4 linked regions of the Drosophila melanogaster genome follow. The protein of the gene in region 3 interacts with the protein of the main gene of each other region in a pairwise test. Each region holds a gene or a part of one and is shown on either strand. Other genes may lie near its edges.

Region 1 (3,374 bases), on a different chromosome or scaffold from region 3:
CTGAATTTTTACGACAGACTACTACGTTGGGGTTTCCACGCTATGGCCAACAGAACTTTTCCAGCTCAGCTTGGTTTGAACTCCGTTAGACGACTGAATCGCTTTGTGCCCAGCCATCGCTATTTTATACGTCCGTTCTCGAGTCGACAAAAAGCTCGGCTTTCCGCTTCGGCTTTCGGGATCGGGGGGCTCTATATATGTATATGCATATAAGTATATATATGTATGGCTAGTGCGCAGGCGCTTCGATGCTCGTGAAAAAAATATAAACACAAAGCAGCTGGCCGAGCTCAGCTGTTTCTTAGCCAAAAGCCGGCAACAACAAGCCCCACATGTGGCCAACTTAGCCGAAAGGGGGGAGTTTATTGGTCGCCAGGGGGGGTGGGGGGTTTGCAAAGCTTCGGCATTGCCGACTGCGCAAAGACAATAATTCCATGTTGTTCTTGCCCACGAAAAACCAAATAAAGCAAGGTAAGCGCCTAAAACCCAAACAACAGCAGCAGCAGCGCCAAAATATCTGTGGGGCTTTAACAGGTGGCAATGTCATGATTTCACAGTACACAAAATAATATATCTTTACATACATAGATAAATATAGATATCTATTTATCTGAAGTCACTGGTTTTGAAAATGGTTCCGAATCTTTAGTAAGTAAGCCTTACTTAAGGTTTCATAAAAAAAATATATTATATAGTAAGAAGTGCACGCTAAGCATTTGACAAAAATAAAATGTATTTATATTTTAGAGCATAACCAATACAATATTACAGTTTCCTAACTATTAATTTGTTTAAATTAGTATTTAGCTGTAATATTTTCTTTTTCATGCATAGCGAAACAATTAATATATGTTTAAATGATTATCAGATGACATGAAAAAGTATTTTTCAATAAATACATTAATTTGCACAGCAAACGACTATTGAAGTAATAAATTACTGTGCAAATTTTATAACAAAATGTAAAATTTTTTATGTTTTATGGTTAGGCATTTTCATAAAAAAAATTGTCAATTTTTACTCCAAGTGCTCTTTATGAATATTGTCATTATTGCACGCAAGAATTGTGAATTTTCGGCGTCATTAAATTAACTTAATTGATTATTTTCGTTAAATTAATTTGCACGTTTTGTGCAACAATTGTTTACATTTTATCGGTTCATCTGTTGACTGCCAATTCGCAAAAAAAAGATTTGTCGCAAAAACTTCGACGCAAAAACCGAAGCAAATCAAATCAAATCGCACCGCAAAAGTAACGACTGAAAAACTGGACAAACTCGCTTTAATTAGAAGCAAAATAATATTATGTAGACGGTATAAAAACGATATTTGGTACTTAGACATGTGAAATGGTAAATATTAATGCGTGGCGAGTTCCTTGAACTTTTATTCTAATTTATTTATTTCACCCAAATCACGAGGGTAAAGTCAGAGATTTAACAATAGCAAAAAAACATGGATATGAATATTCTAATGTGCCAGATTAACGTTTATTCTTAATCAATTATAAACAGGCACAAAAACCTTAACAGAAACAAAACACATTTTTATATAGTTTCTAAACTCTCGAGTTTTTTATGAATTATTTTTACTATTGTAGTTTACAATTAGTTATTAGGCATAATTCTTATATCATATTTTTAAGCACTTTGTGATAGTTGTGACTGTTGTTGAAATTTATTTTCTTGAAAAGAAATATACATATTGTAATTTAGATCTTAAAAACTCATTATATGATCTATTTTTAAGGATCGTTTTTCAGCACTGATCATGGTTCTATGACTAGGATTTTATGAGTTGCCTGATCACAGAATTTTCGGTAATTTTAACCGCTCTTAATGCGGTCGCATTAAAAAAGCAGTTAATTACAGTTAGTTGCATTTTGCAAATCTTATTGCACGTTTTTTTTTGTCGTCTTTTTTGTGCTCGTGGAAAATATTATTTGTAAAATTACCGAATGGAGCGCTACAATCGCGTCTATAGAGGTAGTATTGCTAATACTTTTGTAAACAAGTTTAAAATATATCCTTTAACTTTCAATAGATCCCGCATCCCCACTGACCCCACTCACTCCCCTCTCCACCGAAGCTTTTACATTCGAAGATGTCACGCCCACTGGAGGCGTTGGCAGGAAGGGTACCGCGAGATACGGACTCTTTGGAATGCCGAAGAACAATAATCTTACGGTTCCTAACAGTCGACCGGCATTGTCCGGGTTAAAACGACTATCGGAATCCACTTTGCCCCGTCGATTTTCACAGAAATTTATGCGCACGCGTTCCGTATTTTCGCCCACAAGTCAAAGTACCCTTATAAATGGGGAGACCAGGCTACTGGGAGAATCTGGAGATTCGAAACTACTGAGAACTAAGAGAGAAGACAGACCAAAGCCGGATATCCGACTGCAGCAGGAAACGCGGCTGAGGCAGGAGGAATCCAAGTTGAAAAGTGCGCGAAAGATTAAAGTGGAGGACCCAAGAAGTCCCACTCCCAGTATCCATCATTCACGCTATAAGCCCTGCTCCCCGGTGGAGCACCCCACTTTGAGTCCTCGGGTCAAATCCCTGCTCGATCGCACCGGAAACGCGCATCTCACAGAGCTGTTCACGCGCCAGGAGATCGACATCGAGGTGCTCATCCAAATGACCCTGGAGGACTTGGCGGCACTGGGCGTTCGCGGCGCCCGGGAGATCCGATTGGCCATGAATATTATCCAACTGGCCAAGCAATTCTTCTGATTTTATATCCTGTAGGATTTCTGCTAATTTTAAACTGTTTTATGTCATGTGGATTTGAATTTGTATGTGAGATTTTAATAAATGTTTAATGTGGTCTTGAAGTATTTTTGCGCGGTGATTGGGGCTTGGGATTGGAACTCTATTTTTAATTTAATATTCATTTAACATTAAGTAATAATTTTTCTCAGTGTATGAACTTAGCTAAAAACATTAGTAAAGTCACAAACCATAGAGTAAGTCGCATTAATCCATGTCTGAACGGTATTTATTTTAGTATATTTTTGCGGCACGCTAGTATGCTTCAAAAGTCGATCCGCGGTCACACTGAACACGTGTTTCGAACAAAAAGCCGTTTAAACAAAATATCCACGTTTTTATCAAAAAAGCAATGGGCAAAGTGAAAGTAGAGCGCTCCGAGGATGCCGATGAGTCCGTTGTGGCCAGCGGCGATGTTACCATCAAGGAGGAGGAGTCCTACGACGACAAGCTGATCTTTGTGAACGCCATCGCGAAACCGATGGCAGGTAAAAAACTGGCCAAAAAGTGCTACAAACTGGTGAAGAAGGCCATGAAGCACAAGACTTTCCTGCGAAATGGACTTAAGGATGTACAGACTCGCCTGCGCAAGGGCGAAAC
Region 2 (7,195 bases), 5.9 Mb from region 3:
TTGTTCCGCGAGGACTGCCAAAGTCATGGGTGCAGAGTTCAGTTCGTTTTCCGTGGTGCTTCTGGTCATCATTCTCATTATAGTCGTGAGTAGCTAACGCTCGAGCCGGAAGTGGGCACTACATGATATCCGTTTCTTTATCCCAAAACAGTTCCTTTCGAATGCCTACCACAAGGCCAAGAGAGCTGGCCAGAGCAGTGATTACAGGCCTAGATCGGAGCGGACCAACGACACACGAAATGGTGAGAGGGAGCTGTATAGTACACAAATAGGCTTAGAGATACAGTTGATAACTAACTCGTAACTGGTCGCACATGCCAGGTTTATTGCCTTTGGCTATAATTAGCTCTGATTTGCTTATCTGATAGCCCAGCAGAATTACCCAAGCTGTCAGGTTGATGCAACGCTGACTTTATCTTTGTTTATCGAAATAGCTTTATCACAATTTTCCCGGGTCTTAATTTCGTATTCCCGTGGTCCTCGACTCATTTGCTGCCACACATTTCCCAGACTCGGTTCAAAATGGATCTCGTCGAGGTGTATTACTTTATATCCTTCATTCTGATATTCCTTATTTTGATAAGGGTGAGTGTGGCTGGTTTATCCTCCTGTAGAATTTTGCCTAATTCAACATTTATTAAGGCCTATATCTGTCCCAATCACAAGTGGAAGTGCGTCTGCTGCCTGCAATATCGGCACGAATCTGGTGAGTTTATCCAAGTAACTCCGCTTCTATTAGTCAAGTCTTCCAAATTAGTTTGAGAGAATCTATTGTTTTTTTTTTTTTATCAAAATCACCAGCTAGGGTCCAGTTGGGTCCAATGTATGTAGGGGTCTGCTTCTTTGCATTTATAGTGCTCATTCTCGTATTGCTACTCGCTCGGGTAGGTTGAAATCTCAACGTTGATTAGATATCATTAGTCAAATCACCCCAATCCCAAGGAGTGCTATCTGTTCATCAAGTTGAAGATCGACGAGTGGAATATGCGGGTTTATGCCCGACTTTTGCGCCATGAGATGATGTTGCGCCTGGCCATGGAAGGTAAGATCCAGGCTTTTCTGGCTATATAACTTGGCGAAAAAAAGCTGCAAAAGCTTTGCCGATAAGATAATGCCTGTTATTCGATGGGGGTTCTCCAAGATATGGGCCAACAACTTGAATCGCATTCTACGTCGTTTCTCGAAAAATACCCAACAGTCTTATTTAATCCATCTCGAGAAATGGAAGCGATCGACATATTCTACATTTCACTATTATTTTTCCTGGTGTTTGTTGTAAGTCTGCACTTTCAAAATCAGGAATATATCTTAATGTTCCTCTAACAGCTGAAGAGCACACACTAGCTTCACATATTTTGAACATATTTCTAAATATTTATATAATCCTGTAAATTCTGAGAGTCCTTTGCCACTTTTCTGTGGGGTATATTCCTGATTTTCAAAGGCATTTCGGTTGTTTTTGCTTTTATAGTTGTGCTACAACGTGAGGAATAACATGAAATCAGGGAATTCCCATGTCGGGAGTAATTTATCTCAAGGTGCGTAAGTTAGTAAGCTGTATCACAAATGTTGTAATAACTACTACACTCATATCTCTGGTTTTTCCGTTATTACTTTTGAGGATTGATATACCTTAAATATGCTTATAATCATGACTTTCGTACAGTTCAAGAGCAAACCATACTGTAATAGAGTTATATTCCTGATTTTGATTGGTGTGTTTTATAACTTTAATCACCGTCTTTACCCCCAATAGTTGTGCTACAAGAGCAGAAGGAACATCAACTCCGGGGACTACGATACCGAAAGCTTTTCGGCAGGGGGCCAATCCCCAGGTGCGTAAGTCCCGATTCAGCCCGATTGAGACCACCGATTGCGTTGGCTGTGCGCGTGTATGCCTAGTTTTAATCGCAAAATTGTATGCCGATTGATAAGGGTTGTATGTGCGATTTGGTTTTGTTTGGTGATTAGGCTGTTAGCAATGAGTGGCATTGCCTTTGCCATTTCAGCAAGGTTTCTTGTGCGCGGCGAACGGTGGTAAATCGGTGCTGTTGTCTGTTCTGGACTTCCGGTCTTAAGTTCTCAATTTCATAATGCCCTATTACGCTTTTATGATGATTGGCTGGTTCCTCATAATCTCAATTGTATGCATACTGATTCGAGTAAGTTCTCAAGTGATTTATCGCAAAATTTCAACCCCTGTCTGATGACAACGATCCCCTATTGACCCTGTAGGCTTGTTGTCTGTGCGCCACACAAAAGACTCCTAGTCGAACCAGCTCAAGTGGTCGTGGTCCAGGACGAGGTCCTGGTCCTGGGGAGAATCCAACAAATCGACAGCCCGGAAGGGTTCTGCACAGCTATAGAATCGATCAGTCAGGAGTAACCCTCAGCACAGGTGAGCAGCCATGAGTCACAAGCGTTTTTCGATAAAGTTATCTATGGTGCCTCCCTTATCGATGGGTTCGGTTGTTCGGTTAGATTCCCAATGTTCGACAGTAGCGTTAATTTATTCAGATGTACGGTCGCAGTTCGGCCATATAGATATTCCGCAAAATGGGCGACCAGTTCCGTTGGTGCGAGTTCGGTGTCCTGCTGCTCCTCTTCCTGCTGATTTTATACTTTTCCATCAGTGTGAGTTCTTGGCCCAAAACTAGTGGCTATCAATGCAAATGGAAGTGAATCCGCCAGATAATTGCAGAGATGTGTAGCCCAGAAGCGTCGAAGGAGATTGCCAGTTAGCCCGCCCTTGAGCAGATTCGTTTCCTCGTGTCCCTCGTCGCCGGGATTGAGTAGTCGTCTCAGTTGGACGCCAGGTGAGCAGCTCAGGTGGCCCGCAGTGATTTGTGGCATTCATTTTGATGGCGAAAATGTTCTTCCGCCCTTTAAATTATGTTCCTTTGTCTGTCTACAAATGAATCGCTATGAATTAATTACACATTCAGCTATATTCGCTGCTTTACGCTTGGCTAAAGTCAATGCCTTATAATGTTCATTTACAATAATGGGTTGTAAGACATGAGAAAGAAGCATTTGGTTATTATTCAATGAGTATAAGAAATTACTTAATTAGGAAGATTTCAAAGTGTCAACTGATTTTTTGAACATGGCATTGAATGAATTTAAAGAGAGAAAATTATGAATATATTTCAATACCAATTTTCCATTCGCAAACTAATCGGTTTTCTAAAATATCATATAACATGTTTTTTTTATTAGACACTTGTTTTTCTTTAAGTATACCATGTACAGATAAAAATTTAAATTAAATCTTATCTACCCCAATCTATTAAATAACAGAAAATCTGATAATCAGAATAGTTCTTGCACTGCAAGAAATTTACAATTGTTTATAAAAAAAAGTTTTCCAAACGATCTATATAATTTTCAAGTGCTTGTAGAAGTATAATCTAGAACATTTGATTTATGTGACATTTGCTTCCTTAATTAGTTTCGCGACTTTCGCCTGTCACGTGCCCGGATGACATTATCCAAAGCGTAATTATGCGCATATCTGTCAGATACAGATACTTTTACAGCTGGCACACAGGTAATAGAACGCCGCCCGACTGAGACAGCGATAGTGGCGAGGCGTATCTTATCGGACTCTGTGCGTCGAGCGCTTATCACATGGCCCTTGACACACCTGTCCGCCGCTCCCGCGATCCGCGCTCTTCCCAGTCGCCGATAAGTCTTGGCCAAAAGCTAGCGACGCGCCATATTATGACAGTTGGCCTAAGGCCTTTTCATGGAGCGAATAACATCGCCGGTGCTCGCGTATCCACGTGGATATACCGAATTTTCGGATCACAAAATGTCGAATATACCGCCGTATTTGGTGTTCTTCTTCCTGGCCTTCATTTCCTGTGCGGTCACCTTCTGCTGCCTGAGATTCTGCATTTGGGTGTGCTTCGAGGCCAGGGATTCCAGGAGTCGCAGACGCCGACATGGTACGCTTCATTCAAAACAAGCCAAATTTGACTTATTTTCGGTGGCTATCGGACGGTATATATATAGATACTTGGCCAATCAGATGGGTTTCTTGGCCCAGATAAGATTAGCTAGAAATTCGTTTTGCAGAGTTCTCAGTTTTAACTCGCCATTCAAGTGATTCGATTGTGTGTTTTTTTCTGGCGGGTATTGACACAATGGATTTTTTTATTTTCTATGTGGGGCTGTTCTTTATCTTCTTCCTGATCATGCCCATGGTCTATTTCGCTCTTCAGGTATCTGTCCACCACATTTTTGAACCTAACTTTAAGCGAGGGATATAAGTTTCCTTCCTTAGTCCTTCACTCATCACTTCTTTGATATTCCCCCAAAAGTTTATACTATGGATTATTCTGAACAAGTGCTGTGGAACCAATCCTCGGGGATTTCAAGATCCGGTAAGACGTAGACGTCGACGACAACGTCAACGCCAGCGTACTGGTATGTATTGATGGCTTGAACTGCCTCTGATGGCTTGATGTATTGATGTATTGACGGTTTTATATATGTATTGACTAACTGATACAAACAGTGACTGTGTGTGGGTGGGTTTGATGATCAAGTGCTACCATAAATCCATAAAGCCTAGAGTGTTTGTTTTGTGGACTTTCGTGATAAGCTGATTTCGAACGTCTTGCTAATATTGCAAATCAGTAACTTTGGGGGGTCAGTCTTTTGGAGAGCTCGTTGCAAAATGGAACTCATAGCCACTTTCTTTTTACGCCTGCTGATCGGCATCGTGGCCTATGCAGCCCTACAGGTGATCCTTAGATTCAGCAAATCCCTTCGATGGTGATTGGTAACCAAGTTCTGTTCTTATTCCCCCAAAGTTCGCTGTTGTTTGGATCTTGAAATGCTGGTGTTATAGACATCGAAACCATCGAATAGATTCTCGTAAGTTACACTGGCTTTGGTTTGTGTGTGCAAACCGCCGGACCGTATATATGGTATATCTGATATATGGAGTAACATTTATGGGGTAATGCCAACCAAACATGGCGGACAATCTAATCTTGGGCGACTAATCAATTGCGTGCTGAACGGCGAACTATGGGTAATACTAGTGTCTACAAAACGCAGTTGGTGGCTGTAGTTCGGCATTGATTCCTGCTCCGCGTCGTTCTAAGTCTCATCATGCACGGATCGGAGCCGACATTGGATTGGGGCAGCGGCTTCGGCCTGCACATAGCCATCTATTTGGCCCTGGTGTTCTTCTTTTTCTGCGTACTACCGCTGGCCTGCTACTACATCCGCGTAGAGAGCCAAACTCTGGCAAAGATCTGCCAGCCGCGATGTCGACGTCAGCAGAGGATTCCAGAGCACCATCGTCAGCGATACGGCATTGAAATTGGTAACGTGTGCCAATCCGAAAGTGGGCAGGAAGCCAATCTAATCGGTTAGGTTCGGGCGATTACTTTTTGGCCAGTCTTCGAGAATTGCGGAATGGGTCTGACAGCTAATCTGAGCGTCGCGCTGGGCTTTGTGTTTTGCATGTTCGCGGTGGCCCAGCTTATATACGTATGTAGTTAATCCTGCAAGCTGAGTTTATCTTAATGGCTTTGAAGTAAAGAAGCCCATAACTGATTTATCTATTTGTTAGCTGGCCAAGCGAATGCACGACTCAAGGATTCGAAATCGTCGCCAGATACAAGCTGGTATGGAACATAGCCCATTTGGGTCACACTGGTAGAAATATTATCCTCAAAAGTGTTTATTGTGTGTGTGAAATTTGGAGTGCTAATATGACTAATCAACTCGTTTTTAGAAGCCCATTTAAAATGTGCTTATCAGGTCGTGTTTAGAGCAGTGTTTCCAATTTTAATTAATTAACGAATAACAAGGTTGTTGTGTGGGTTAATCAAACTGCACATATACAAATATTTCGAAGTGTATAAAACAACTCTCCTTTAAATGACATTACCCAAATATCAATATGATGTAATCAAGTAATCTTTAATTAAATTCTTATCATTCGTCCTATGAGTTTTATATGTTTAAAGACTTCACTATTCACTATTCACTACTCACTTATTTTTCTTAACCTATTTTCAGATCGTAATGTATTCAACGCACAGGAGGATCCTTCATCGAACCGCTATGGCGACATTTTCTTCATCGAACCCGGCAGCGTGGAGGCCAACCGCATTCGCGATCAACTGGAAAAGGATGAAAAGGATTTACCCAGCTACGACGAGGTGATGCGCATGTGTAACCTGACCACTCCCACAGCAGCAGCGGCTGGAATGCCTGTTCCCCAATCGCCCCTCGGTGTACCCAGTCCCATTGGAATCGCGGCACTGCCGGCGCCACCGTATTCGGAGACAGATCCACATTCCTCGTCCGCCGCAGAAGCCACTGTCATCGCAATGGAACCGATGGAGCCATCCACCTCCCGCGCGGCACAGATTCCACCCAGCTCCGGATCTGGTCCTCCTGCTCCATTGCCAACGACAGCGGTGTGATCCGTCGGAGGCATGGATAAATTGGAACTGAAGCATTCGCCGTGCCACTCTGGGCCACACAGATGCCACTTTGTGTGCGCTTTCAGTACAGAAATGAACTTGTGTGATCTTATTGAGTACATACCTATTTAAGTTCTAGACATTAGGAGTCGCATATTGTAAATATATATTTTTAGGACATAGGATGAAAATTAAAGTGAATTATTTAATTGAAAATAATGACTTTTAACTTTGGGAAAGTTCATGATTAAGTACAATATAAAAATCGGTTCTTAATGGTAAAATACAAAATAAATTAGTTCTATGAATCATGAAAAATCAGTTCTTATCAAAAATAAATAAGTTCCATAAAGCATAAACTCAGAAATCGTGTAATCGACATTATTTAAAAATGAAAAAGTAATGGTTTCTAATTTACATACGATTAACCGCTGCCACCGTATGGCTATTAACCTTAGATTCAGCAGATTTTAAAGCTTACGGTAGACAAGTTTTATTTATTGTAATTAGTTATCAATATGTGTATATGTTTTTTCATCTTGTATTGAGAAGTCAACAATTATACAGCTAAGCGCAGTGTGAATACCGAGGAAATAAATTATAGGTGGAGTTCAGCAAAACGTTGTAGACTATCACATAGATAAACGGTATTCGTGGGATCTAAAGCTATTTACAGAGAATAAATACACTTGTAAGATTATAATAAATAGTTGTACGTAAGTTCGCAACACAATAATATCCAA
Region 3 (4,705 bases):
TTGAGTGAACGCCGCTGGCAAAGCAGGGATTCAGAGGCAGATTGCATCGCACATCTACGGTAAACAAAACTGGCTGTGTTAGGCAGTGAAAGGTGCTTTCCTCTGCTTGCTTTAACTGTGCCCAGGTACTCGAGGTTTTCTTCAGTCCTTTTAGCAAGCAAACATCAAGCTTGGCTATATCCTGTTGTGTCGAAATATCCACGAAGCGCAAAGACCTATCCTGGCTAGCTAAGGCCAATGTATTGGCATTGGCCAATGATTGTGCAGCGCTTGTAAAAGGAGCTACTTGACTGCTAAACATGCAATGGCGAATGAGTTCGTAATCTGAATCCGAATCCTGTTCGTCTTTGCATTTAAGTTCGTATAGGGAAACCTCCTTCAGCAACCGTGCCAGGAACATTTGACTGCGATTTAAATTGTGGAGCGGAAGAAGTTCAAAGACTTCGCTGGAGGATTCCTCTATCGTAGCCGAATGCAATGGTTGCCAAAACTCCGCCTCACCATAATCTCGGGAAAAGTGCAAATCTCTGAGCTTATTACCGCTGACATGCATGGCCAGCTGATCGTTTCCATCAAACGGAATCGTGTTTAGGTTTCCGCCTGTGTAGTAGTAATCGTAGCTGTCCCTGAAGAAGGAATTCTCCTGTTGGGCTATGTGCTCAGCCATCTCAAACAGACTGGCATCGTGTACACCTTGCTCCTGCTTCTGTACACGCTGTCTCATATTTTTAAGTCGCCTATCAAATATAGCCTTGCCTAATTGCAATTGCCGTGTCCAATCGTCGTAGCGGAATGGCCTTTGGACGCATGCCTCCACTCGGGGAGTTTGTCCATCCTTTGCCAGGAAGAGGGGTAGCGGCACCGTAACCGAGCAATTTGGCAAGTCCTGCTTCGGATTATCCTGATGATCGTACAAGAGTTGGCCCAACATTCCAGTGTTCAAGCCGGGATAAGAGAAGTGCGGCGCATTTTCCAAAATGCTGCGCAGATTATCTGGCTCATTGTTATCCTCAGCATCTTGATCCGGCGGAAGATCATCTTCGGAATCGGATTCGTTGTCACTAGTTTTGGTCTTGACCTGGGCACTGTATTTGGCCGAATTGAGAGCTGTTTGATAGCGTCGCGGCATGTCTGTAATTGGAGTATAAATAAGAAATCGGATTTTGCTAGCTGGCCGATGTGTTTTGATGCATGTGAGCCTGGCTTACGGATTTCTTCGATCAGCTATCCAGTTCTGCACGAAAGAATTTAGTTAACAAATTGAATTTGACTCAATCAAACGCCAAACGCACGACGTTTCCTCTGGACGCAAGAAACAGCTGATTAGTGATGGGTATTTATGTCTACCCAACCGCATGCTTGCTGTTATGAGCATTACAAGCAAAATATTCACAATATATTAAAATAATATAGGTTTTGGATTATCTATTACATTACATTGGAAGTGCAAAAATGTAACATTGAAAAAAAAAGCATCGTAAAATACCTTTTTAAAGAAATGTAAAGGTTTTAGACACCAATAATAAGTAACATTTACATTTTTAAGTCAAAAATATTTAAGAATCCGATGTTTTGATAAGCGACGATGTATCGCTGGTCGGCGATACTATTTCTAAAATATCGGCTAGCTCGATAGCACCTATATGAAAACATCGATTCCCGATGCATCGATGTTTCTCCCCATCACTATCAAATTTGCTTTGCGCTGCATCGAGACCGAGAATTAAAGACTTGAAAGCAGCTGGAGAAATTACAAGAAATTGATCCCCGAAAATTACTGGCAATCGCGAACAGCGGGCGTGTGTGTGTGTGTGCGTGCGCGCGAGAGCGAGAGAATAAGTGAATGAAACAGAACGAGCACAGAAATTACACAAGTTGTAAAAGAAAAGGTGAAGAAAAAAGTTGGTCGAGACCGAATATTGATTTTTTCATAGACAGTGCAGTTAAAACAACGGTCTCTTTTTGTTAGCCAAAAAGAAGGCGTTGGTAAAAAGCGGTAGTAGTTTTTATCTCAATTTTGAGGCCTACAAAAGAATAGAAGAAAAAGCAACGGAAAGCGTCAGGTGAGTTTTTTAAATCCAACCACGCACACACCTGCACTCACACCTACACTACCGCACACAACGGGCACAATTAACATACATACAAGTGCCAAACAGACAACAAAACAAATGCCAATTGGAAAGGTGTGAAAGAGAGGGGCGGGTCTGGAAGATAACATTAACCAGTTCTAATCCTACTCCCCTCCCTCTCGCTCCGCTTGCATTTGTTTTGTTGCAGTTATCTATTACTCTTCCCTCTCTCTCTCTCTCTCTCTCTCTCTGTCTTATCCTGTCTCTCTCTCTCTGCGCTCGCCCCCATTAAAAAGAAAAGAAAACACACTGCCTCATCTAAAACTTTTCATTTGCATCCCAGTATCTGTTTTTCAATTAGCACTATTGTATATTTTGCGCACTCTTCTTTTTACTTAGTTAACAGTTAGTTGTTGTATGCACGTTTTTGTCGTTGTTGTTCTTGTTGCTCGCCATATCTGTACTAATTCATCCATTTATGATGTTCGTTTTTATTCGTTATTCGTTTTTTTTTTGTGTATGTTTGGCTTTGGTTTCGTTTGGGTTTTCCTCGCTTTTCCTAACTGCTAATTTTTGACAAAACCCAAATGGCTTCTGGCTCTGACGTAATGGACCCCTGCTGCCCTCCCCTTCGCTCCATTCCGTCTCTCTTCCTCTTTATCGCTCTCCCTCTCTCGGAGCTGGCGCTTTTCCACTCTAAACGACCTCCAGAAAACTTCGCCGCAATCATTTCAGCAGCTGCCACAGTGAAGCCTGTGTGCTGAAAACCAAGTTATGCCAGTAAAAAAAAGTGCGGTTGCATGTTGTCCTGGGATTCTAAATTAGTAGGTTTCCTTGATTCCTACACCTTTTTTCCATATTCTGAATTGCAATTAAGTTAAATAAGAAATTTGACGATCTAGGCAATTCGCAAAAAAACCTCAAATCAACTTCGAGTTGATTTTCTAGACAATAGTCGACCAATTTTCCTAACTAAACAAAGGAAAAGCGAAATGGAATAATGGGGTTGTTCATTAAAAGCGACTTGACTGTTATCTCTAATAGTTGCCCTAATTGGTTTACCTATTGGCAGTGTTTACTGTTCCTGCAGACATTTGTTATTCGCTGTTTTGTGAAATTTTATTGCTTCTAGCGGTTTTTGGGTGTGGAAATGAATGGGTGAGGACTCCACTTTAACGGCTCTACTGTAACCTGTCGGCGCCATCGCCATGGACAGGATTTCGTCTCGTCCTCCTGAGTATCTGAGTCCAGTACATACATGTATGTATACGTATCTATATCTGATGTTTAACTTTCCTGCATGTTTAATGCGTAGGTCAGTTTACTCAGAAGGCAAACACAATAAAAAGTTCGCCGCACAAATTGCTTTTGGCGCCTTGTTGCTGCTCCTGTTGTTGTTCTTGTTGTTGTTGTTGTTGACGCTCTTGTTGGCCACTCAGGTGTTTACCAACTTCCCTGGCACCTTCTCCCTTTTCTGCCCTTGGTCTGCTGCGGCTCTGTTTTTATGTAACTTTCAAATCGATTGCAAACACGTAACAGTAGGGCAACCTGCGCCGCCCCTCATTGCCCCACCGTGCCACGCCCCTAGCCTCCCACCTACCCAACTGATATTCTCCCATATCCTGCAACAACACGCTCTGACGTTGAGCGTGTGATTTGGTTCGTTTCGGCTGTACGATTTTTTTTCCTGCTGGCCTGCGGCTTGACATAGCGTGACATTTCCTGTATGTGATTTGCTGCCGTTGTCGGTGCCCCAGAACCCCTGCCACGCCCCCTACCGATGGGGTATCTTGTCTCTCCGCCCCCCAAAGAACATTTGAATAATTTCTGTTTTGCAAATTTGTACCCCCTCCCACATCGGAGGCGATATCCTTGAAGGACTCGGACAAATTGCAGTCAATACAATAGTTGAGCAAGTATTTTTAGGGGCAGCAGAGAACTTGTTGTTAGCCACCTTCCAAGGAAATCGAACACTGAAAGATCTTACAAAAAACAAGAGCCATTAAACGTATTAAATGATAATTTAACAATGAATTATGTATGTAACTACAGCAGACTTCCTTTAAAATTATCTCTTTTCACGTCTAAGTAGAAAAAGATACATTTAAAGCAAATCAAAAGCTCAAGGATTATGTAAATCACTTTTGTTCTCAGAAGAAAAAAAATCGTAATTATTTAGTCTTCTGAGTCGGTAAATCCGAAGTAGCATTGAATCCCAATCAAGTACACAGTTCAGCAGTAGATTGAGTTCAGATTGCTGTCTTGAGCTTCGGTTTGTTGTTGCCCGTTGACCTGCCAACGGTTGCCGTGGGCGACCTGCCAAATTGTCGATATTCCGTGCGCTCCTTTCGCTCCGGGCCGGAAAAACGGAAAAGCCAGGGCACGTCGTTCGCCTGTCGCCGTCCCACTCTAGCCGATGGCTAATTTCAATGGCTCCACGCTGCTTGCACCTCAAGCTCCTCCTCTGCACTCTTCACGTGCAATCGCAATTATGAATAATTCGCCATAAATGGCACACGCTGGGCTGCAATTATTGGAATTGAAGTGGCCCAGATGCCGCTGATAAATCGCTTGCCACCAATAAGCCTATAGTACATTATACATTACTACATTATATGTACATATATATGTAG
Region 4 (7,920 bases), about 14 Mb from region 3:
TTCTCCTTCTGCTTGACCCGCTGAACGAACATTTGGCGCACTTCCTCCTCCTTGGCCTGTAGGCAAGCCAGATGGTCGGATCGCTTCGACTCGAAGGTCTGTTGGAAGGAGACCGGCTGGTTGTTGCTGTCCACGTCCACAAAGCCCATTTGTTGTAGGCGCCGCTGGCGGAAGAGCTCATAGTGGCGTGTGTGAGTCTGTTCGCGCAGATCCTCCATGTTAGTGCGAATGAGCATCTCGCGCAGCTTCACAAAGTCGCAGTGCGCCTCGTTTTCTATGTGCACCGCTCCCCATGGATATTGGCGGGCACGAACCTGCTTTCCGGCCACCTTTACAAACTCCGTACTGCCAACAACGGCAAAGGGTAGATGGCCGTTCATCGCAGCATTTGTTTCGGACACGGTTTCGTCGTCCATGGGAAACTGGTATATGCTCACATTGTTCCGCCGTAGTTCGTCCATTATGCGTTCCTTAAACCCCGACAGCTCCGACTTGGAGATGGTGTCGGCCTTCGCGATCACGGGAATGATGTTCACCCTAGTGTCAAGCTGCTTCATGCACACCAAATCCATAGCTTTCAGACCATGGCCCGTGGGACAGATGAAGTACAGGCAGGCGTGAACGCGTCCATCATGAGCACTGGCCATCGCTCGCTGGATCTTGAGCTCTTCCTGCAAATACGCTTCAAACTGGCTGTCCACGTACTCCACCAAAGCCTTGTAGCTGTCCGCTTTATTAACCTGATCTCCGTATCCGATCGTGTCACAGACGGTCAGCTTCAGGCGGACGTTGCTCTCCTGCAGCTCGTATGTATTTGCCTTCAGCTTCACATTGGGCAGGTTGTGCGGGCTCGGTGTAGATCCAAAACTGGTATTGAACAGTGTGTCCATGAGAGTGGATTTCCCGAGAGCGGTCTCGCCGATGCATAGGATATTGAAGCTAAAGCCATTCTGGACGCTCTTGTTGACCAGCTGGTCCGGTAGGGTGTCGAACCCCACGTGGCCGCCGAGTTGAAGGAGCCTGGGGACTTTGGTTGCCACCTCCTGCGTCTTCTTTTCAGTCACTAAATGAACCATTTCGCCAGTGCTTTCGTTAGAATAATGTCACGACCCAGCGCAGGCGCCACTCTTTATACCCGGAATTCTCGTATGTGCAGCCTGTGTAAACCCTAGTCGTTTTTCTTAATAAGCCATTTGGATTTTCCTGCATCTGGTGGCGTACCGAGAATTAAACTGTATCTAAGAGTTTTCTACCTGTGATTCCTTTTACCTGCAGCCTTGACGATTTTAAATGCGGTGCCCGCCTCAGTTGTCTATCGAGACAGTTCTGCGCGACTATATCGATTAAAGCAGCTTCAACTAACATTTATCAATTGCAGTTAAACAACGATGGATTATTCGATCAAAATGAATTTTATTTATCAGAAAGATAGTCTTGCGACAGTACATTTTATATATGATTTCTGGACTATGACGCCACGGCTGGCTCGAATGAAGTCCCATCTGGACGTATTATATTCGATGACTTTTTCCAACATTTGTGGTCATATATCGGCAATAACACGGCAAATGTTAAGTCGGTCGCGATTTTGAACAGTAATGCCAACTTAAAGTTCTCCACCTCATAAAAAAATCCTTTACAAAACGTATATCGCGTTGTCTTAATCTCGCGTGTTTTAAAGATTTATGATCTTAAAACTTAAAAACTTTTATTGTTATATCTAAGTTCGCCGAAATATATTACAGAAATAGAAACCTATTAAAAACTACATTGAAATTATATATGATTATAACTATGTCATTATATAAAAATGAATCAAACGTTTGGCTATAAAATGGACAAATATGGCTCGATACCATGAACGGGACCATCAATGGCGATAGCAAACACGTATCGTTATCGAATACCGCAGTTAACTTTCGACGCATACAGAATTTGCAAAGCCGGAGGAAATTGAAGAATTTGTGGAATATCCGCGACTTAATAGTAAACTAGCACTTAAAAATAAACATCCAAAAAAGCCGGAAGTGGTAAGAACTCTAAAAACGATCTGAATTGCTCTGATTTTAGAATTTTTCCGCCTAACGCGATTTTCTTTGTTTGCGGGGCGCCGCCATTTTCTTTTTACCTGACCGCCGCTTGTCTTCTTGCATTTCGCCCGTACTTTCACAAAGCAAATCTCGAATTCTTCGCAGAATCCCCGGAACTAAATTGCCAGAAAGTTCTCAGGCAGCACACACCGAGTTAAAGCGCCCCGGAATAGCCGCCCATGAGTAGTCATCGAGACGGAGCCGGAGCCGATCGTATCACAATCAAAATTCACAACATGAAGCGTAGCGCCTCGCGCTCCCCGGGCCCGGCCTCCAGGAGCAGTTTGTCGCGCAACTCGCGAAGCATGGGTCGTGGGTACGACAACGGCAGCGGCGTGCCTGGCGATTCGCCGGAGCGCCTGTCGCCGGAGCGCATGCGACGTCGATTGGACCGCTCGCCGAGTCGTTATGGCTCCCCGCACCGGGAGCCCTACATGCGTGGTCCACCGCCTGCAGAGCGACCAGCTGGCTACAAGGTACTTTGCGTCAGTGCCCTGCCGCCAAAGGCTCCGGACGATTTTATCGAGGAGACACTGTACCGCGAGTACAAGAAGTTTGGCGATTTTAGCGTGCGACTGGCGCACGACTTGGATGAACGGGTTGCTTACGTTTGCTTCCGAACGCCTGAAGATGCACGCGAGGCGAAGCACCATAAGCCGCGCCTGATCATCTACGACAAGATGGCCATTGTGGAGCCGGTGTACAAGTCCACAACCAGACCGGAATATAGGTGGGATTTATTTTTGTATTTATTTTGTTAGCCTTGGCTAATCTAAGATGCTTTGCAGACCACGCGGTCACTCAATGTCCCCACCGGACTATGAACGTTACCACTACTCGAGGTCCCCTATGGGACAAGGCGTTCCTTTGGATCACCGTCGACCTCCGATTGATCCCTACGATCGGTACGGTCCTCCCCATATGCATCCGCACGCAGTCCATCCACGTGATTACCGCCCATTGCATCATGACTATCCTCATCCGCCACGCGGACCACCTTTGCATCGCGGCGGCCATCCGCATCACCTCCATGGCCATGCGCCGCCCCATCAGTATGCTCCAATGAGGCCATTGGCACCACGCCCACACGCTCCCTATGAAAAGCCTGAGAGCAAGAAGGACAAGTTCCCCAATTACTTGCACCATGTGCAGCCCGAGGATGATCCTCTTTCTACGCGCACACTGTTTGCAGGAAATCTGGAGGTTACCATCGCCGACGACGAACTGCGTCGCATCTTTGGCAAATACGGAGTGGTAGATGACATCGACATCAAGCGACCGCCGCCGGGTACGGGGAACGCGTTCGCGTTTGTACGTTACCAAAACCTGGATATGGCTCACCGAGCGAAGATCGAATTGTCTGGACAGTACATTGGCAAGTTTCAGTGCAAGATCGGATACGGGAAAGTGACTCCGGCAACTCGTATGTGGATCGGAGGCTTAGGTGCCTGGACTTCTGTCACTCAGCTGGAGCGAGAGTTTGATCGCTTCGGTGCGATCAAGAAGATTGAATACCAGAAGGGCGAGCCGTACGCTTATATTCAGTACGAGACAGTGGAGGCAGCCACGGCGGCGGTAAAGGAGATGCGAGGATTCCCATTGGGTGGACCGGAGCGTCGACTCCGCACGGACTTTGCCGAGTTGCCCGGCGCCACACCGGCAGCGCCTTTCAAGAGCTCAAAGCCGCCATATGATGAAAGTGCGTTGGAGTACAGACGTCCGGAATACGATCCGTATTACGAAGAGTCCGCCGCCTACGCTCCGCGCGGTGGCTATTCTCCGTATCCACCTAGGGGTGGCTACCGTGGACGTGGGGGATATCGCGGAAGAGGAAGAGGCATGTACCATTATCACAACGACGTGCATAGGCCGCCGCATCCTGGCTCCTTAGCAGGTTCCTCTTCTTCAGTTCCCCCTCCCGGCGGAGTGGAGGATGAGTGGCGACGCCCGCCAGGAGAATCGTACGACAGAGGAGCCCGCTCCAGCTCTCGGGAACCTGGTGTAGAACGCTCTCGTTCTAGATCCCCATTGAAGCGGGCTCGCTCTCCCGGATCTGATTCTGACACCTCGACTCGTCGGAACGACGCCCTTGCATCAGCCAGTACGGTTCCAGATGTGGCGCGCAAGTGCAGCACAGTGTGGACCGGAGCGCTAATCCTCAAGAGCTCACTGTTCCCAGCCAAGTTTCATTTGACGGACGGAGATACGGATATTGTGGAGTCGCTGATGCGCGATGAGGAGGGCAAGCACAACCTACGTATCACCCAGCGACTGCGTCTGGATCCGCCCAAGCTGGACGACGTGCAAAAACGTATTGCATCCTCATCGTCGCACGCCATTTTCATGGGTCTGGCAGGGTCCACAAACGACACCAATTGCGACGATGCCAGCGTGCAGACGCGACCACTAAGAAACTTGGTTTCCTATCTTAAGCAGAAGGAGGCGGCTGGCGTGATCTCGCTGCTTAACAAGGAGACGGAGGCAACTGGGGTGCTGTACGCCTTCCCCCCCTGCGACTTTTCCACAGAGCTGCTAAAGCGCACTTGTCACAGTCTGACGGAGGAGGGCCTGAAGGAGGATCACCTGGTGATTGTGGTGGTGCGCGGCGGAACGGCCTGAGCTGGAGCGGCTGGCGACGGTGGGGATGGGAGGACAAACTGTAGGTAATAACTAGCCACAGTGCTCAAGGAAAATCTCCGCCACATCTAATTATAGCATAGCAGCCGTAGTCGTATCTTAGCTCGTCCTCTCCCAAGTGGAGGACACCCGGGGGCCACATACATGCAAGGGACGTGTATGCGGCTCCTCCAAGCACCGCACACACGCACATACACACACATGATGCACACATACAGAGACAGAAGCAGAACCGAGGAGACTTCACCCACACCTCATGACCCAAAAACCCCGCATTAATTAACCATTAATTAACCTTCTTTTGCAGACAGGATCTCTCTTTTGGTTTTAGTTCAAGTTCTCGATGTGTTAGTGACAGTGAAGTTTATACATCCTTTTCATTATTGTGCTAAAAAGTTTGAAAAATCGTTCATGATTGTATCTAAAGCTACCCATACAAATTATCCAATTTTATTATGTTAAAGTGTACAACAGTATGAAAACAACACGAGTAAAAACAAAAATCAAATATTTTCCATAAAAAAAACTCCATTCGAGTGTCCGCATATGATCAACAACTAGTGCGAAATAATGTCGATGAAAAGTTTTTGTGTTCCTTAAAATTGATTTTCCATTTTGATTTGTGTTACGCTGATGATTTTGCCTTTGCCCTTTCGTTTGTGTTCGATGGCGAGAAGGCAGTGCGACCAAAAGTGCGCCCAGTAGTGGTCTGATTGTCCAGTTGGGTCCAAAATAAGATTGCAAAGTGGCTCCAGAAGTTGTTTGCAGTGCAATTTCCCAATCAGTGCGAAGTGCTTAACTCCAGCTGAGTTTCAGTTCCCCTCGATCTCCAAGAGGTTCTTTGGTGTTTCTGGCCGCTGGGTGCGTGAAAGTGGCTGGCGATTCCATATCGTGTTCCGATCCCCGATCAATATCCGTCTTCCATCCGAAGAGAGAACGTCGTGTAGCATTTGCTCCAAAATGTCTATGCTGTTTGATTTGGTTTGGCAATTGTTACATTGGTTTTCTTGTGGCTGCGCTCAACAGAAGAATAAGAATAAGAATAGTGTTTTGTTTATAATTTATGCAAGCGTTCATGCTACATTTGTTTCAGTGAGTTCAAGTGTCATTCCACGGACCGAGATCAGTTTATACACAATGATAATCCAATCCGAGCAGTTCACCCAGTGCATGTGCTGTGTATGCGTGTGTTCGCAAATCTATTATTTATATATATATATATATATCAATCGTAATATGTACACTCAAAGGTAGTAATAACGATCAAACGCAGTTGTCTTGCATCATTAGACGGATGTTCGAAAGTAATTTATGCTTCAACAAAATATTATATCAAACTATTGTACTGATATCCAAATAAACGACAACTATCGCATCCTACGTGTTAAAAATGTGAGTTGTGAGTTACAGTGCAAGCAAGTGTTTAAGAAAGTGAACCATCTGCTGACCAAAGAAGGTAACGAAATTAAGCACCATTGCTAGCATCAACATCAATTTTATTACCAAGTGGAACGCGCCAGGGCCCTGGAATCGCGTTCTTAATCGTAGTACAGGTAAAAGGTGGTGCAGACTGCAAAGTACGAGGGTCTCTCCACGCTGTAGGTCACAAATCCGTCTTTTTCAGCATCCCACAGGAAGTTGACCATGGAGTAGAGGCCCTGCATCAGGAACTCGCCCACAGTGACCAGCACTATGTAGCGATATCTGGGGCGAAACGGTGGTTAGTTAGACAAAAACTGACCGCCGAACCAAAGTCACCTGTCGTAGTTGTCGAGTTTGATGCGGTTCTTGATTTCCTCGCTCACTTGCGCGGCCATGTGGAGGGAATGCTTGGGATGGAACATGTACTCATCGTTGTAGTGTCGGTTCATCACCGCCTTTATGATGTTCTCCACGCGTTCCTTGTTGAGCGGATTCTTGGACTCCAGGCGGTAGGTGGGCATGAACCGCATGGTGGGCTAGGCATTAAGCAGATCTCAGGGTATAAACACAGCTAGCTGGGCATTTAACGGACTTACCTTGGCTGCCGGAGCACCCATCGGCAAGGAAACGCCCATATGGGACTTGGTCAGCGATCCGCGCTGGCTGCTTGCCGGCCTCTGCATGTCGATGAAATGGGAAACCGAATATGCATGTTAGTTAGGCCACAGCTAGAAGCACAGAGATACCCAAACCCCCAATAGAATCCCCACAAGAAATGGCGTGACTTCGTCAAATTTTAGACGAACCGTATGGTTCCCGTGTTCACATCCCGTTACAAGCATCAATTCATTAAAAAGACATCAATACCCCATTGTAACCATAATGGCAAAATCAATCGTATACCTTCTCACGCTCCTGGCCCAGATAAAGATTCACCAGCCCCGACCAGTTCTTCGCTGCAGCGGCTGCCATTCCTTGCGAATTAATAGAATCGAGTCGGCTCGAGTGCGTAGAGGTTAGCCATAAAACCACAAATGATTATGCCATTAAGTCATTCCCTGCCAGATTACCTGACGGCCTGTCGCCGTGGCAATTCGTGGCGTTTGGCTTTGTTGAATCAATAAAACCAGCCAAATTATGCGCCACTTGTCAGCCCAACTTACCGGCTTAGTGCCCTCGGCCGACTTTTCTTTCTTCTCCTTTTTGCCCTTGCCAGTTTCCGCCTCCTTGGCGGCGGTCTCTGGCACGACATCCTTGCTGCGCCGCTCTTCCGGTGAGTCGCCCATGATCACAATGTTTAACTTGAAATGCTTTTTAGAACTGAACTGGAGCAGAAATATACTAGCCAAGAAGACGAAAGAAAACGACAGCCTGCTAAGATTGTTAAGAAATTGAAAGATCAGCTTACAACAACAATTAGTTTACACTTTATTTGGTTTGCTATATGTGTGGGAATATGCTTCACATTTCGGGTCGGTCTTGCGTTTAAAGTATACATATGAAACATATACACACAGTCAGTAGACAATAATACACATCCATGTTACGATATTTACGTTATTACTGGGTGGTGGTGCTCTTGTGGCCACAAAACATCAATTACATCTATATACACATATTTAAATATAAATATACTCGATACGCTCGGATTCGGTTAAATACACACCTAATAAATTATCTATAAAAAGTAAAACAATAACAGTGCGAATTCTTGGCCACATTTCCTTGTCTTTGTCCTGTTGCTTCCACTTGTTTGAGTCCAGGACTCCGA

What was found.
Region 1: the proteins of MESK2 (region 3) and gnu interact in a two-hybrid assay, tested with the Drosophila melanogaster proteins (one large-scale study listed by BioGRID).
Region 2: the proteins of MESK2 (region 3) and CG12963 interact in a two-hybrid assay, tested with the Drosophila melanogaster proteins (one large-scale study listed by BioGRID).
Region 4: the proteins of MESK2 (region 3) and nito interact in a two-hybrid assay, tested with the Drosophila melanogaster proteins (one large-scale study listed by BioGRID).

Annotation. Positions count from the first base shown.
Region 1 is NT_037436.4:14,801,843-14,805,216, reverse strand, and holds gnu (giant nuclei), read left to right. Parts: upstream 1-1,856; 5' UTR 1,857-1,957; coding exon 1,958-1,985; intron 1,986-2,043; coding exon 2,044-2,738; 3' UTR 2,739-2,837; downstream 2,838-3,374. Other genes in the region: NHP2, read left to right, coding at 3,127-3,374.
Region 2 is NT_033778.4:15,555,773-15,562,967, forward strand, and holds CG12963 (uncharacterized protein), read left to right. Parts: upstream 1-1,902; 5' UTR 1,903-1,939; intron 1,940-2,013; 5' UTR 2,014-2,093; coding exon 2,094-2,162; intron 2,163-2,235; coding exon 2,236-2,398; intron 2,399-2,497; exon of another isoform or gene 2,498-2,556; coding exon of another isoform or gene 2,557-2,634; intron 2,635-2,701; coding exon of another isoform or gene 2,702-2,816; intron 2,817-3,464; exon of another isoform or gene 3,465-3,748; coding exon of another isoform or gene 3,749-3,950; intron 3,951-4,087; exon of another isoform or gene 4,088-4,148; coding exon of another isoform or gene 4,149-4,226; intron 4,227-4,325; coding exon of another isoform or gene 4,326-4,431; intron 4,432-4,659; exon of another isoform or gene 4,660-4,684; coding exon of another isoform or gene 4,685-4,750; intron 4,751-4,820; coding exon of another isoform or gene 4,821-4,884; exon of another isoform or gene 4,885-5,124; coding exon of another isoform or gene 5,125-5,341; intron 5,342-5,403; exon of another isoform or gene 5,404-5,433; coding exon of another isoform or gene 5,434-5,508; intron 5,509-5,590; coding exon of another isoform or gene 5,591-5,645; intron 5,646-6,042; coding exon 6,043-6,452; 3' UTR 6,453-6,664; downstream 6,665-7,195.
Region 3 is NT_033778.4:21,500,417-21,505,121, forward strand, and holds the start of MESK2 (misexpression suppressor of KSR 2), read left to right. Parts: upstream 1-1,680; 5' UTR 1,681-2,063; intron 2,064-4,705. Other genes in the region: TAF1C-like (TATA box-binding protein-associated factor RNA polymerase I subunit C-like), read right to left, coding at 1-1,129.
Region 4 is NT_033778.4:7,960,574-7,968,493, forward strand, and holds the start of nito (spenito), read left to right. Parts: upstream 1-1,889; 5' UTR 1,890-2,030; intron 2,031-2,195; 5' UTR 2,196-2,269; coding exon 2,270-2,820; intron 2,821-2,878; coding exon 2,879-4,709; 3' UTR 4,710-4,753; exon of another isoform or gene 4,754-6,167; intron 6,168-6,204; exon of another isoform or gene 6,205-6,265; coding exon of another isoform or gene 6,266-6,431; intron 6,432-6,485; coding exon of another isoform or gene 6,486-6,685; intron 6,686-6,745; coding exon of another isoform or gene 6,746-6,826; intron 6,827-7,052; coding exon of another isoform or gene 7,053-7,121; exon of another isoform or gene 7,122-7,144; intron 7,145-7,312; coding exon of another isoform or gene 7,313-7,435; exon of another isoform or gene 7,436-7,451; intron 7,452-7,555; exon of another isoform or gene 7,556-7,920. Other genes in the region: Septin5 (septin 5), read right to left, coding at 1-1,076; CG14763 (uncharacterized protein), read right to left, coding at 6,266-6,431, 6,486-6,685, 6,746-6,826, 7,313-7,435. UniProt on the Drosophila melanogaster protein: RNA-binding protein that acts as an associated component of the WMM complex, a complex that mediates N6-methyladenosine (m6A) methylation of mRNAs. M6a modification plays a role in the efficiency of mRNA splicing and is required for sex determination.